Linked DNA regions of Pelodiscus sinensis. The protein of the gene in region 1 interacts with the protein of each later gene in a pairwise test. Links are inferred from orthologs where the notes say so. Each region holds a gene or a part of one and is shown on either strand. Other genes may lie near its edges.

Region 1 (7,238 bases):
TCCCTGTGTGCCTCTCACACACTGGGGCACTGGAGTTCTGCACTTCCCGCTCCTTCCTCTCCCCCTCCCTCCCAGCACTTTCAGAGCACTGCTGTTCAAGCTCTGGGAGGGATGGAGGAGGAGCAGGGTCGGAGCGCAAGTCAGCAGATTCATGGCATTCCAAAAGTGCTGGGAGTGCAGTGGTAGGAGCAGGTAAGTGCAGAGCTGCAGTGCACAAGAGGGACATGGAGGAAGGGGACAGAGTGGGATGTTCACTGACATGGAGGGCCATTCATGCAGCCCACTTACTAATCGTGGTTGCCCATTGCTAGTCTACACTAAAAGTGGCCACAGCACGAGCGCTGAGAGAAATCAGCCCAGGCTCGTATGTAAATCACCTCCACGATGCTCCCAGTGCTATATTCTGGTTCACACTGGCTCTTCACAGTGCTGTAACTTGCTGTGCTTGGAGGTATTTTTTCACACCCCTGAGCCAGAAAATTACAGCACTGTAAAGTGCAATGTAGACTTAGCCTTGGATTTACAAAGGGAACATGAAGAGAAATCAAGTTGGACTATTAAAGTTATCAGAAACCACAATTCATCTAATTTTACCATTTCAGTCTGTTTCTGAGACAAAAAAGCAGGCTCTTTCTAAGCAAAAAAGCAATAATTTTAGACAAGTGACATTTTAAAGAAGATACTTTAGTTGACTGCAAGTAATTATTGTCTGAATTTCTTAGATAAAGAATTTTTCCTCCAGTTGCAGGTCTTTCTGAGAATTTGCCACATCACTCCCAGATGTGTTTTGTTACTTGGAAAATGAGTAGCCAATGCATTATTACTCGGAAGCATAGACCTCAAAACATTTTGTTGTTAGATATTTTCACCAAGCTACAGTACAATTCTGATAAGTTCTTTTGCTGAGCCTCTCTTGTGATAAAGTATTATCAACAAGTTCTGCTGACTGAGAAGATATTCCAGCGCTGTAAGAAAATTTAGCTGTTAATTGCTTACGGCAAAGAATGCAAAACCTGTGATGGTCACTGCACAGTGTATGAACATGTAGAGTATTAATTAAATGTAAAAAAAATGAATTGCTATATGTTGAGATTGTAATTGTACCAAAAAAATCAGGAAATTCAAAATTATTGTTCCACAGCAAACACAGCTTGTTCCCCTTGCACATATCAGGAAACAAATAGTAACTTGAATTGTTTAATATATGTATGTAAAAACTATGAGTAATCATTGTGGTGGGAATCTAGAGTAAATTCCCCTAAGACAATAAACTCTGAATGTGCTGACCTTCAAGTAATTAAAATCTCAACATTGTTTCATTAACATTTACATTAGTTCCCTTGGTTTTGCTCAGTAAGAACATTGCTTGATAAATACCATAAGATCATCAAGCCACCAGTTTTTTAGGTTGTCAAAAACTACTTGAGCATCATTGGTTCTCCATAGATGGAGAATCAGCTATTCAGTATCCCCTTTGATAGCAATGCATACATTGACCAGACATCCTGTTTTTAAAGGTGCAATCCCATATTTAAGTCCTGCAAGTGTCCCAACTTTTTCTTAAAAATGGACACATTATCCTGTATTTTCAGTATCCCACCACCAACAATACTGGCAGCTCCTGCTACTGGCTGGATCCCTGCTTGCCAGCTGCCTGACCATCAGTGAAGTCCAGTGCCTAAGATGGGAGTGGGTGTGCAAGGCAGTGTGGGATAAAGATGCAGCATGGCTGCTCCCCCTGCTGGTCCATCAGCATAGTTCACGCAGAATGTCAGATGTCTGCCAGCAGGGCTCTGTCCCACTTCCTGTCCCATTTCCAGCTGGTACTGGTGGTGAGCTGCTGTGGTTGTGTGCAAGCAGGTACCAGGCAGCAGCTGGTTATGTGTTGCTGCTGCTGCCCACCAACTGGCCTTTTCCAAGTTTCCCCTTTCACTGTTCTCTGCTTTGCCTGCTTTCTCCTGATACTCTTCCATATCTGCAACAGGCGCCATTGCAACAAAACAGGAATTTGTGTATGTCTAAAGAATAAAGTTAAGCTTTAAAATAGCCAAGATGTACATAATTAACACTGAAATGTGTCTGTTGTGGATGCATGTCATCATACCATTCTCTTATGTAAAACATTACTGCTTTAGGAAACCATAAAGTTGATCTACAATTTTAAAATAAAAACAAATCACTGTCACTTTATTACTAGGTAACATGTACCCCAAACACCAATGGTTAAACACTCCTTCAGGTTATTTTCTTTTATAGCATATAGCTTTTCTCGTTTAGCATCTCAAAATACTTCTAAAATGTGTGTGTGTGTGTGTGTGTATACACATATACACACACACACACACATTTATATAATGTATATTTTTATTTATAAACATTTATATAATAAATATAAATAAATAATACTGATCTTCTCAAAATACTAATGGCTGCACCCCCCTAGGCAGATTTCCCAAAGCATTACAAGATTTTATCCTGTGTTCTCATGAACCTTTTCCTCTACTGCTCTTCCTAACACTACATATCTGTTCACCTGGATCTCAGAAGCCTCTTTAAAAGAACTAGCTCAGTAATATTCACATATAGTTTATTTGATCATTTTCTCTGTGAGGGGTTTAGAGTGACCATATTTCTCAAAGTGAAAATGGGATACCACATGGGGCTGATCCACGTCATTTGCCTAAGCCTCTCCTGCCACCATGTGAGGCTGGCCTAAGCTCAAATCCCTTCTCTCCCCACACCTGCCCTTTCTGCTGCCAGAGTGACTTGCCTAAGCCAACTGGTGTGACTGCTAACATGAGCCCATTGTACATGGCTAGTGTCTTCCCTTGCTCTGAATTAGGAGAAGCCTACTCCAATTTTTTGGCAGAACTCAGCATCTGTCCTGTTTGACCTTGCCAACTTATGAGCTGGCAAGATTAAACTGAACAAACGGGGGCCAACAGACATGCTGAGGCCTGGGGCAAGGTGGGGGTGCAGCTCCATGCCCCCAGAAGGGATGTGGCCTCAGGTGCAAGGGACAGGGCTGGGAGCAGCTGGCCTTCAACATAGCCTATGGATCTAGTGCAGTGCACTCCACGCTATGTCTACACTGGCGGGTTGTTCCGCAAGAACATTTTGTGAAGACTTCCTGTGCAAGAAATCTTGAGAAGAACACGTCCACACGGCCATGTGCTTTTGCGCAAGAGATTTGCTTTTGCGCAAGAGCATCCATAGCTGTGTGGACGGTTTCTTGTGCAAGAAAGCTCTGATGGCCATTTTAGCCACATTGCCTTCCTGCACAAGACCTCCTGCGCAAGAAGGCTTACGCCTGTCAGAAAAGAGCGTAGCTGTTATGCAAGAAGCCCTCTCTAACCATGCTGTACTGTAAATCTTGCGAAAGAGCTGGCGGGCAGTGTGGATGCTCTGCGGAAGAACAGCCGTTCTTGCGCACAAGAATCCACCAGTGTAGAAATAGCCAGAGTGATTTAAACAGCCTGGGGCTCCAGCTGCTGTTGCTCCTGTGGTAGTGGCAGTGGTGGCCAAGCGTCCCAAAGCCCAGCAATTCTAAAAACCCTGGGACAATTGCCTCTTTTGCCCCGTCAGCAAGCCTGAAGACAAGTGCCCATTTTTGAAAAAAAAAAAAAAAAAAAAGTCAGAACAGCTAGGCCAGGGCTTACAAAGGGCCTGATACCAAATTATTAGTTGCCTTAGTGATACCATTAGTCAGTGAATAATCACCACTACACGTTCATTATTCAACTAACTTTATTCTTGAAAACAGCTTACGTCAGGGCCCCCATTCTATCCTTTCAGAAACAAGTACAGCAGTCGCTCCCCCTCTCCCTCATTGGAAAAAACACATCAGATTCTTCAAGTCAAAGCAAACCACACCAGCAACACAACAACAAACACAGGGCAGACAAGCACAGGAACTGTTCTCCTCCCCCAAAAGCCTTAGTGTGCTCCAGCCTATTAGCCAACTCCCACGCCTTTGCATCCCTTCCCCCTAAGTTCCCCACCACAGCGCGTCCCAAAGCAGCAAGTCAGTAGCAATCACCCAAATTCCCCCGCTAGAAGCGTCCACCGAAAGCTCCAACCCCCCCCGCTTCGTCGCTCGCTTCGGTGACCAGCTGATCAAATCCCGCCCAGTGTCTAGCTCCGCCTCCCACCCCCGGCTGTGCTGTTTGCTCCTCCTGACCTGCGGGAGCTCGCCTTTGCGCGCTCCCGTGGGCTGTGTGTTTCCTCCCCATCGGTGTCGCCAGGGCGCGCCCGCTGCCCTTGCCCGCCTGCGCTCGGGGCTTTGTTTGTCGGGCCGGGCTGACGGCGCGGGCCGGCGGCAGAGGGGGGCTGTGGGCACGCGCAGAGCAGTGTCTCCTCTTTGGGGTGCGTGGCACAAGCCGTAGGAGGAGGACACAGGTAATTGGCTCCCAGGAGCATTTCACCAGGCAGCTTAATCTGGGGGGCCTGGCGCTGCGTGTGTAGGATTCTTGGAGTTGCTGTGCTGGAGTTAGGATTTGCTCACACGTTGCCTGTGGGGAGACCCTGGGCTGGGCTCCAGTGGGGCATGTGTCTGTTGGATTGTGTGCTGCGAGCAGACCAGGGGGCTGTGTTCACTGCGTCCTGTGCTCAGCAGGACCACGCTCACACACGAGAGGGCTGCACGTGCGCTGTCTTTCCAACAACTCTCTGCCTCTGCTTCCCTGCCCTGCCTTGCCCAGTGCGTTACAGAATTCTGTTTGGGCTGTGGGCACGGGTGGGCCAAGTCAACTGTTTCATAGTGCGCCCGTCACAAAAGATTACTGCTGTCCTTATTAGAGGTAAAGGATATGTGGGCTGTAGCAACTGACCTACTCTCTAACCTCTGGAGGTACTCAGTCCTCCTAGCCGCTTGTGAGGAAACCTGTGTTGTGTCGATTCTGTCCCTGTGAATGCAGGATATCAGTCCCCAGGCGTCTTAATCCAGCCTTCAGATCACCTATATATACAGAGAGAGAGTGGAACCAAAAAAAAGTGACTTGAAGTGTGACATGGTTGTGGAGAGACATTCCAGAAAGTACTAGCTTCATTGGTTAGATATTGGAGGCTCAGAGAGAAGGTCCTTATTCTGAGTATTATGTAACAATTTGCAGGGAGTAGGAGGATGTAAAAGAGCCCTGTGTGCTTATATACCGTCTTTATCTTGATTAGAAGAGATCACTCTGATTCCAAAGGGCCATTAAACTATTCTTCCAGGAGTGAGCTAGATCTGGAAGTAACTCTGGGGCTGGGAGGGTACTGGGACTGGTCAATACAGAATGCGTGAAGTTCCACTGCACCTATATTTTGCAAACTTGCCAGTATATTTTGTAATTTGCGTATAATACTAGTCTCTCCCCACTTTACACAAGAGCATTGTGGGATAGGCCTGTATTACTAAATCTTCATAACTTATACCGCTGTGGTCTCATTCATATTTTATGAAGTTTTAAAATTCAAAATTAAACTAAACCCTAATTGCCAAACCAAGCAATACATTCTGTGATAGTGAGTAACATTAAAAAAAATAAATTTAGTAATGCAGTTCATGCAGATTAGTGAGGTTACACTGAAAGCAAGAAGTGACACACTTTAAGCTCAGGGACAATGATATTGACACTAACAGTCATCACTACTAGTATAGGGACCAGCACTGACTTCACTCTGACAGTCACCCTGGCAGCTGGAAGAGGCAAGCTGTCAAATATACTGGAGAGAGGAGGAGTTAAGTAAGATGTAAATAGAGATCTATAATTTACAGATGGAAAAGGCCTAAAATAATCGGGTATGCAACCCATCTCCTGGCCAACACATGAGTGATTACTATTTTGTATATATTTCTAGTGCTGTGTCTAGTTTAGCTGAAAATGTGTAAGTAATGGGACCACGCTAATAGATCTCACTGCAGAGAAATTTTCCTTGATAAGTCAGACTGAATTTTACCTTTCTAAATTTAATCTGCTATTACTCCCAGCTATCATGCTATATTCTTTCCATGAGTTCTTCTCCGTGCCTGTTTTTTTTTTTTTTAGACCAATCATGTAACTATTTAAAATTACTGCGTCTCAACATAAGATGTGGTGCTGTGAAATTCTGAAATGCATCGTTCAGTGAAGTCTGTGCCAAGCACCATCCATGATTATGCCTTTAATTGTTACTTAGACAATGTATATTTTTAGTTTTCATAAATCCAGAGTTTATAATTTTTATTGCTTTTGCTTGATTTGTTTATTGCTCTTGCCTTCTGCTGCAGGAGGTTGGGAATTTAAATATTTGTCTCAACTGTTACCCATAATTTTATGTAGTCAAATGCATTTGAGTTATATCCCCAGCTCCAGCAGCTCAGAATCACCAGGCTAGGCTGTTCTTGTAGTATTGTATGTGGGTAGGAATCAGTTACATTTGTGGACAAATGACAGCAGTAAAATATATTTCATGGGATCAACCAAAAATACAAAAGCATAGCACATAACACATTAGCTCAAACCTCTGAAGTCTGTGCTGGGGCTTCCTTTCACTTGTGTGGGTTAGCAAACATTTTAAACTCTAAAACCATGGTACGTTCACGTCTTGAATACTGCGTACAAATGTGGTTGCCTCATTTTAAAAAGATGTATTGGCATTGGAAATGGTTCAGAAAAGGGCAACAAAAATGATAAGGAGTTTGGAATGGGTCCCATATGAAGAGAGCTTAAAAAGGCTTGGACTTTTCATCTTAGAAAGAGGAGATTGGGGGGGATATAATAGAGGTCTATAAAATCATGACCGGAATGGAAAAAGTGAATAAGGAAAATTATTTACTTGTTCCCATAACATGAAGTTTTTCTTCATTTAGCACACAGTCAGCCTGTGGAACTCCTTGACAGAGGATGTTGTGACGATCAGGACTTTAACAGGGTTCAAAAACTAGATACGTTCATGGAGGTTAGGTCCATCAATGGCTATTAGCCAGGATGGGTAGGAATGGTGTCTCTAGCCTCTGTTAGTCAGAGACTGGAATGGATGACAGGAGAGCAATTGTGATGATTTCCTTTTGTGTTCATTTCCTTTGGGGCATCTGGCATTGGCTACTGCTGGAAGACAGGATAGTGGGCTTGATGGACCTTTAGTCTGACCAGGTATGGCCATTCTTATGTTCTCATGTTAAAATTAATTTGAAAAATTGATTCTAGATTAAGTTTAAGTACATGTCATCATATTTTCAACAGCTCAATATTGGTGAAAAGAGGATTTCTGGTTTC
Region 2 (7,720 bases), on another chromosome or scaffold:
TAATATATAACAGAGGTCCTGGATCAGGAATGCCAGAGTCACTGAGCAATAAAGCCACACCCAAACCTTGGGAAGAAGCCGGTTCTGCCAGGGACTCGGGGTAAACAGCATGGCTAGCCAAGCTCTGAGGGACACAACTCATAGCTCAGAAGCGGAAGCTTGCTAGCCAGTCCTGTTCCTGGCTGGCCACACATTTTTCTTCTCCTGCCCCCGGGAACATCTGTCAGTCTTGAATCCCTGACACCAGCCTGACACCACAAGCATCCCCAGAGCTCCCTGCTGCCCCATTGCTTTTGTGTGCGCTGGCCCATGGGAGCCACCCTGGCCCGGAGCTGGTTTCAGGGACCAAGCTGGTGCTTGCCCATCCCAACAGATTAGCACCACAGGAAAGCATGAGCCCTACCAGTCCTGCCCCGCCTGCTGACCGAGGCTGCAGAACTACCATGGACACGCCGTGGATTGGCGGCACCAACTGGCAACAGCCCCTGTTGGAGTCATTCCCATCATCTTCTGCCAACCGGAGACCGTGCTGAGTGCTCAGCTAGGCCCAAACGAACACAGGGCCTGTCTAGGGTTGCCAGATGGTTTAACCAAAAATACCAAACATCCCCCCCTGCCCCAAGAGTTATTAAGCAAAAAAAAAAAAAAAAAAAACCCAGCATGTTGTTCCTTTAAGGCAGCATGGCCGTCAGCCATCTTGTTTTCCTGCTCCGAGCCAGAAGACAGCTCCCCTGTGGAACCAGGTAAGTGAGAGAGCTGGGCCCAGTTGCTGAGTGGATCGTAGGGTTGCCAGGTGTCCGGTACTTTTGCCTCCTGGCAGGGAAAAAAAAATCAGAATATACCAGACATTTTAGGTGTCTGGTATTTTCTGAATTTTTTTACCGGACAGGACGTGAAAATAACAGACGGGCCGGGTCAATACTGGACACCTGGCAACCCTAGGCCTATCGGAAGCATCTGGTTGTCAGTGAAGTCTCCCGCCTCCCTATGCCTGAGCTCCTCCTGATCAAAGTCACCAGTGGGGGTGTTTCCTGTTAGTCTTTCAAGCTTCCTCCCTGTGTTTGTTAACCTGTCACATGGTTGCAAGATGGGCAGGCCGGGCTGGAAAACGGGGAGGAGGGGGGGTTCGGGTCAGGGTCGCAGTGTACCGGCCGAGCTGTGGCTGCAAAAGCACCAGGGCTGCAACAGCAGAAAGTGGAGGGACAGGACAGGGGTGCATTGGCAGAGCTGGGCCTGCAAGCAGAGGGCCGCAGTAACCAGTCAGAGCACGAGCATGAAGCACTCTACTGCCACGATGGGGAGGGAGCCCTGCCCCAGAAGCAGTGGGAGCAGAGCGTTTTGGTCACGAGCCCATGGAGCGGCTTGTTTAGAGTGGCCAATTTGGACTGGACGCATCCTTGGAGATTTCACGCCGGGCTGTAATCTTTAATTCGAGATTCATCTTTCATTCCTGGAGACTCCAGGCCAGTCCTGGAGGGCTGGCAACCTTCCACTTGTTCCATGGTGCTGCGTTTATAGCGGGGGTGGGAACCCCTTGTTGGGTCGGGGGCCGCTGACCCACAGCGAAATCAGTTGGGGGCCACACACAAGTGAGGCAGCCTCCAAACGAGAAGCAGAAAGACATTCTCCACATTCCCCTCAGACACCAGAGCCGAGGGAGGCCCAGGCTAGTAGATGTTGTGTGCTCCAGCCCTGTGAGGAATGGCGGGGAGCTGAGGCACCAGCACAGGCTCCCCAATGCTAGGAGGAAGCCCCATGCCTCAGGGGCCAGATCCAGGCAAGCCGGGGACTGGTTTGTAGCACCCATCCCCATCGTATTGGAAGCCTCCGCTCTTCCTGTCCCACTGGTCCCAGTGTCTCCAGATCAGCTCTGACAATGCCTTTTACCTCAGGGTAAGAAAGGGTCTGGGAGCAATTCTCCACAGATCATCTCTGGTTGCCCTGGGGGAGCAGGCTCCAGGACCGGCTAATCGGAAGGTGGAGCTTTCGGAGGGGCAGGAGAGCAAGTGGGAACGGAGGTCAGAGGATGGGACTCAAGAATCTCTGGGGTTCCCCCGAAGCAGTGAGAGGAATAGTCTGCTTTCCTCCTGCTGCGGGGTGGGGCGTGGCTGGGGCTGCCACGGCCTCCCAGAAAGGACCCCGGCGCCCAAAGGTCAGCAGTAAATCTTGCCTTATTAAAAGCGCCCGACGCGTCTGAGCGTGAGAGTAGCTGGGGGAAGCGGTTCCGGGCCTGGTGGGTTTGCAGGGTCACTCGGCATGTCAGAGGAGGGCCCGGCTCGGCAGTATGGGAACAGATGGAGGGGAAAAACGGGGAATTGCTGTGCTACACCTGCCCAGCCAGCGCCGTGCAGCAACCTCATCCATCTCCCTTTCACAGGCCAGCCCCAAGCTCTGGCTATTCACACAGCTAATTAGCCAGCCGCTGAGTGAACCCGGCTGTCTGGAGCAGCAGAGAGACAAAGGGCTGCCTTTGACCGCACTGGGCTGGCTGCTCCCAGGCGTCTGTCTCAGCAAGGTACTGCGTGGCATTGCTGCCCCTTTCTACTCCTCCTGGGCTGCTTCCTCGAGGGGATGAGTGGATGCCGCAGCTGTAACTCAGGAATAAAAGGATTATTAGGGGAGTGCCGAGGGGCCTCAGACGTGAGCAGAGACTCAGTGTGCCAGGTGCTGTATGTACCCATCATGAGAGAGTCCCTGCCTCAAAGAGCGCCCAGTCCCACCCGACAAGACAGAGGAAGAAAAGATCACGAGCCCCCAGGTGCCTCCGTGCTTAAACACCTTTGTGAATCCCAGCTGCAGAGAAGACCCAGTGACTTACCCAACGTCACACAGGCAGAGCCAGGATCTGAATCCAGATCGCCTGCGTCCTTTAACCTCCAGACCATCATTCCTGTCTAGACGGGGGCAGCCAAGTTCAAATCCAGATCCACATGGGACGGAGACGCCTTGTTGTATCCCTGTTGTTTTTATGTTCTCTAAGGGCTTCCCTCATCCCAGAGCATTGAAATTCCTCCACCCAGACCCCCTTTGTTCTCTTAGCTTTATGGGTTGAAGTACTGGCCCAGCTTTCCTCAGCTGCGCTTCACGCTCCATTAACCCAGCCCCGCCTTTTCTCAGGTGATGCCAGGTAATTAACTGGCCCCTCAGGCTCTGGTTAACCCTGTCAGGCCTGGTGTGGGCTGTAGCTTATCACTGATCTAGCCCACATAGGTCCTGTCCCTGGAGCAGAAACACTCAGACATTCCCTGAGGCGGGTCTGTTCAGAGCAAGGCTTGGCCACGTCTCCGAAAAGGCGCCAAAGCTGTAGCAACATCTGCAGCTAAGCAAGCCATGAACCTGAGCACCCACCCTACAGAGCATGTCCTAAGGAAGATCAGGTTTAGACGGAGGCAGGCCTAGTGCTGAGTAATGCTGGGGCTGGACTAGTTTGACTGTCCTTGTGTCGTAGTTCAGAACCAACTGGCACGGAGCCCGTTTCCTAGCCAGAAAGGAAGAACAATAAGACACCCACAATAACAAACCCGCAGGGTTTCCTACCAATCACACCAAAACGGAGACAAACGTCACCATGCTGATGTCACAGTGGCTGGAGGTGCCCCTTAGAGCCAAGCAGCTCCAGCAGAAGACAAAAGCAACAGCTTCTTATTGGGAAGGGATGGCAGACAAGGCCTAGCCCCATGCAAAGTCGGAGCTCTGCTCTCGCTGGCATTACAGAGATCTGGCCGTCAGCCCCTTCTCACTCAGAGCTCCATGCACACCCCTAAGGCCCTGTCCATGACATGGGGACGGTGTGCATGACAGAGCCATGCTGGGGCTATTCTCCAAGTCCCAACGCTGTCGGGACTGTCCCCATGGCTGCAGCTCACCTAGCAATGACACATTCAGAGCCCCTGCATGGGGATCGGCATGAACTCATTGCTACTGGTGGCCAGCCCTGGCAATCTGAGCTAACCGAACTGAGACGTGTGCTATCATTTCACCGAGGCACAGGGGAGCGGGCGTCAGTGATAGGCACAGTGAAGGGCAGTCAGGATCAGATGTATGTATTACCCTATCGTATATTACACCACAGCCATGCCTGGACACATGGCACTGCTGGTGGATGTATGGTGGGGGGGGGGGGGACTTTTCCAGTTGAAGAAATGGTCTGATTGCATGTGGCAAAACTTGCCTGTGTTCCTAGGCGGAACACTTCCCTGGGTCCCTGTTTAATGTATCCCTGGTAGCATTTAAAGCAAGGACAAAGACGATTCCTGCCTCTCCTCCGATGTAAGCCCACCCAGTTCTATTAAGAGAGATTTATGATTCCTTTAAGATTTCTCTGTAAATCAGGCAGGCGGTGCTAACGGTGCATTTCTGACTCGCCCGTGCTGGGTTCCTGCGGCGCTGGCCTCAGACCAGCTGCAGCCAGTCAATTCCTCTTTTTAATTATTAATTCATAATTCCCTAGAAAGCTCCTTTTTAAAAGCCCTGCTGTTTATCATGCACTGTGTCTGGCTCGAATGCGTCTCGCTTGCTTTTTGCTGCCCCCTCTCCAGGACCGCGCTGAGTGGAACACGTCACAGCGAGAACGAAGCACTTGCCATTAATGGAGAGCTGAACGCTGAGTTGCTGAGTCTCCTGCTCCTTTCTGCTAATTTATAATAATTGGAAAGGGTGGGTGACTAGACACGAACACTACACACCCTGCACAACGACTGCGGGAAGCAGAGGAAAGGCGGACTGCAGGGGTACAGCACTGAGGTGGTGCTACCAGATTCCTTCTCTAACCTAGGTCAAGTTGCTTAGGCTGGGTCTACGCTTTCCCTTGCTTGGAAAAACTTTTGTTGTTCATGGGTGTTTTATCCCCTTCCCCAGGAACGACAAAGTTTTGCCATGGCAAGTGCATGTGTGAACACTGCTTTGTCGGCAGAAGTGCTCTCAAAGGGAAACCCGCTCTTTGGGGGTAGAAGTATTATGTCGGCAAAAGTGCCAACAAACAGTGTTCACACCTGGCAGCTTTTAGCGACAGGGCTATTGTCACAGCCTACTTGCTAAAAGTTGCATAGTGTAGACATCGCCTCAGTCTTTCCCTGCTTAGCTGTGAAATGGGGATATTACTATTGCCTTTCTCTCACTCACCACCTCATAGACTCATAGACTTTAAGGTCAGAAGGGACCATTATGATCATCTAGTCTGACCCCCTGCACAGTGCAGGCCACAGAATCTCACCCACCCCTCCTAGAATAATCCTCTCACCTATATCTCAGATATTGAAGCCTTCAAATACTTTGAAGACCCCAAGATGCAGAGAATCCTCCAGCTGTGATCTGTGCCCCATGCTACAGAGGAAGGCGAAAAACCTCCAGGGCCTCTGCCAATCTACCCTGGAGGAAAATTCCTTCCCGACCCCAAATATGGCGATCAGCTAAACCCTGAGCATGTGGGCAAGACTCACCAGCCAGACACCCAGAAAGTTCTCTATAGTAACTCCTATCATCCCTCCACTGACCTATTTCCCACTGATAATGAATGGTCAATTAGTTACCAAGATCATGTTATCTCATCAAACCATCCCCTTCATAAACCCATCTAGTTTAATCTTGAAGCCAGATAGATCTTTTGCCCCCACTACTTCCCTTGGAAGGCCATTCCAGAACCTCACTCCTCTAATGGTTAGAAACCTTTGTCTAATCTCAAGTCTAAACTTCCTACTAGCCAGCTTATATCTATTTGTTCTTGTGTCCACATTGGTATTAAACTTAAATAATTCCTCTCCCTCCCTGGTATTTATCCCTCTAATATATTTAAAAAGTGCAATCATGTCCTCCCTTAGCCTTCTTTTGGTTAAAGTAAACAAGCCAAGCTCCTTGAGTCTCCTTTCATAAGACAGGTTTTCCATTCCTCGGATAATCCAATGGCCCTTCTTTGTACCTGTTCCAGTTTGAATTCATCCTTCTTAAACATGGGAGACCAGAACTGCACACAGTATTCCAAATGGGGTCTCACCAATGCCTTGTATAATGGCACTAACACCTCCTTATCCTACTGGAAATACCTCACCTAATACATCCCAAGATCGTATTAGCCTTTTTCACGGCCATGTCACAATGGCGGCTCATAGTCATTCTATAATCAACCAGGACTCCGAGGTCCTTCTCCTCCTACGTTACTTCCAACTGATGTGTCCCCAGCTTATAACTAAAATTCTTGTTATTAATCCCTAAATGCATAACCTTACACTTCTCACTATTAAATTTCATCCTATTGCTATCACTCCAATTTACAAGATCATCCTGATCTTCCTGTATGATATCCCGATCCTTTTCTGAATTGGCAATAGCTCAAGTTCCTCAAGGCAGGGGCCATTTCTCATGGTCTCTACATATAGAACACAGCTCAAGGCAGCTCAGAGCTTGTTGGAGCCTCTAAATCTGTGGTTCTCAACTGGTGGTCCATGGTGACTTTTTCGGTGGTCCACAGGAACATTGCCCAAAGTCCACAAAAATTTGTTGTTTGGCCTGGTGGTCCGTGGATTGAAACAAGTTGAGAACCATTGCTCTAAGTAGAACTATCAATATCAATAATAGCAATAGCAATAATAATACAAGTGGAGCAGTACCTCAGCTCATCCAGTTTGGAGAATTCAAGGGGTTGATGCTTTGTACAGCAATCCGGGGGCCTTGGAGTGTTATGTGTAACATGGCAACATCCTATGTTCTCATACTGCCCATAATCCAATGGTGGGCCATCTGTGACCCGCAGACTGCATGCAGCCCATGTGGAGAGGGGTGTGTGCACATCCGACAAGACATTTTGTTTACCGTTGCCCATGCACAGGGCTGCCAGATTCTCCTGGTGTACATCCGTGTAGTTGTTTTCCTACCCGTACTACTAAAGTGACACACCTGTAAAGCAAGGGCCGGTGAAGTGAGGTGCATGCCAATTGCAGACAACATTGACCGTGAGAGCTGTGTGCTCCCTCTTCATCCCATCAACGTGCGGCTATGGTACAATCGGCACCCCCTGCAAATTCTAGCTACGTATGTTCAGTGAGCAAAACTACCCTGTCCTGAGGCCATCTTGGTTAGGACAATCCTGCGGCCCACTGAGATGAAGGAGGGCCACTCATGCGGCCCACTCACTAATCTAGGTTGCCCATCGCTGCCAGAATCTAATCAAATTCATCTCGCCTCACACACATCGATCTCATCTAGCTCTCTCTCTTATGTACCTATGTGCCCCCTCCCACCATGACAGTATCTGAATGACTCACAATGCGGAGTGTCAAAGCCATGTCTCTCATTCTGCTCAAACCAGGTTGAGCTGGGTAAATGGTCAGGCCTGCAGAGCGCAGCTCGCCACTTGGCCTTAGGAAGATCACTGTGTCATGACTGTGATTTACGCTGTGCTGGCAATGCGCCGTTCAGTGCTGCATGGCACATGCAGTAATAAAGAGCTCAGCCCCATGGGGATGACATGCTAATCGCTTGATAAGAATGAGCTTTCACAATCATGGGGGGACACAGTGTACCTGGTGGCATCCAGTCCTGGTTAGAACTGGCATTGGAAAGAAAATTGGGATACCAGTGTAACTGCCACAGGGCAGATTTGAACCTAGAAACTCTGGAGTTTAGTGTAGGAACCTCTACCACTTGAGCTAAAAGCCAGCTGCTTCTCAGCCTAGGCTATAGAGATCTCTTGTTCTTATCTATTACTGTAAGTGGTCTACGTGCCACT

Evidence for each region.
Region 2: the proteins of MIPOL1 (region 1) and TTC12 interact in binary tests that used the Homo sapiens proteins (3 or more experiments, as listed by UniProt). The two-hybrid records come from large-scale screens. The link is inferred for Pelodiscus sinensis from reciprocal best matches to the Homo sapiens genes MIPOL1 and TTC12.

The regions. Positions count from the first base shown.
Region 1 is NC_134714.1:46,601,309-46,608,546, reverse strand, and holds the start of MIPOL1 (mirror-image polydactyly gene 1 protein), read left to right. Parts: upstream 1-4,160; 5' UTR 4,161-4,398; intron 4,399-7,081; 5' UTR 7,082-7,115; intron 7,116-7,238.
Region 2 is NC_134736.1:8,171,673-8,179,392, reverse strand, and holds the start of TTC12 (tetratricopeptide repeat protein 12), read right to left. Parts: upstream 3,023-7,720; 5' UTR 2,819-3,022; intron 1-2,818. UniProt on the Homo sapiens protein: Cytoplasmic protein that plays a role in the proper assembly of dynein arm complexes in motile cilia in both respiratory cells and sperm flagella.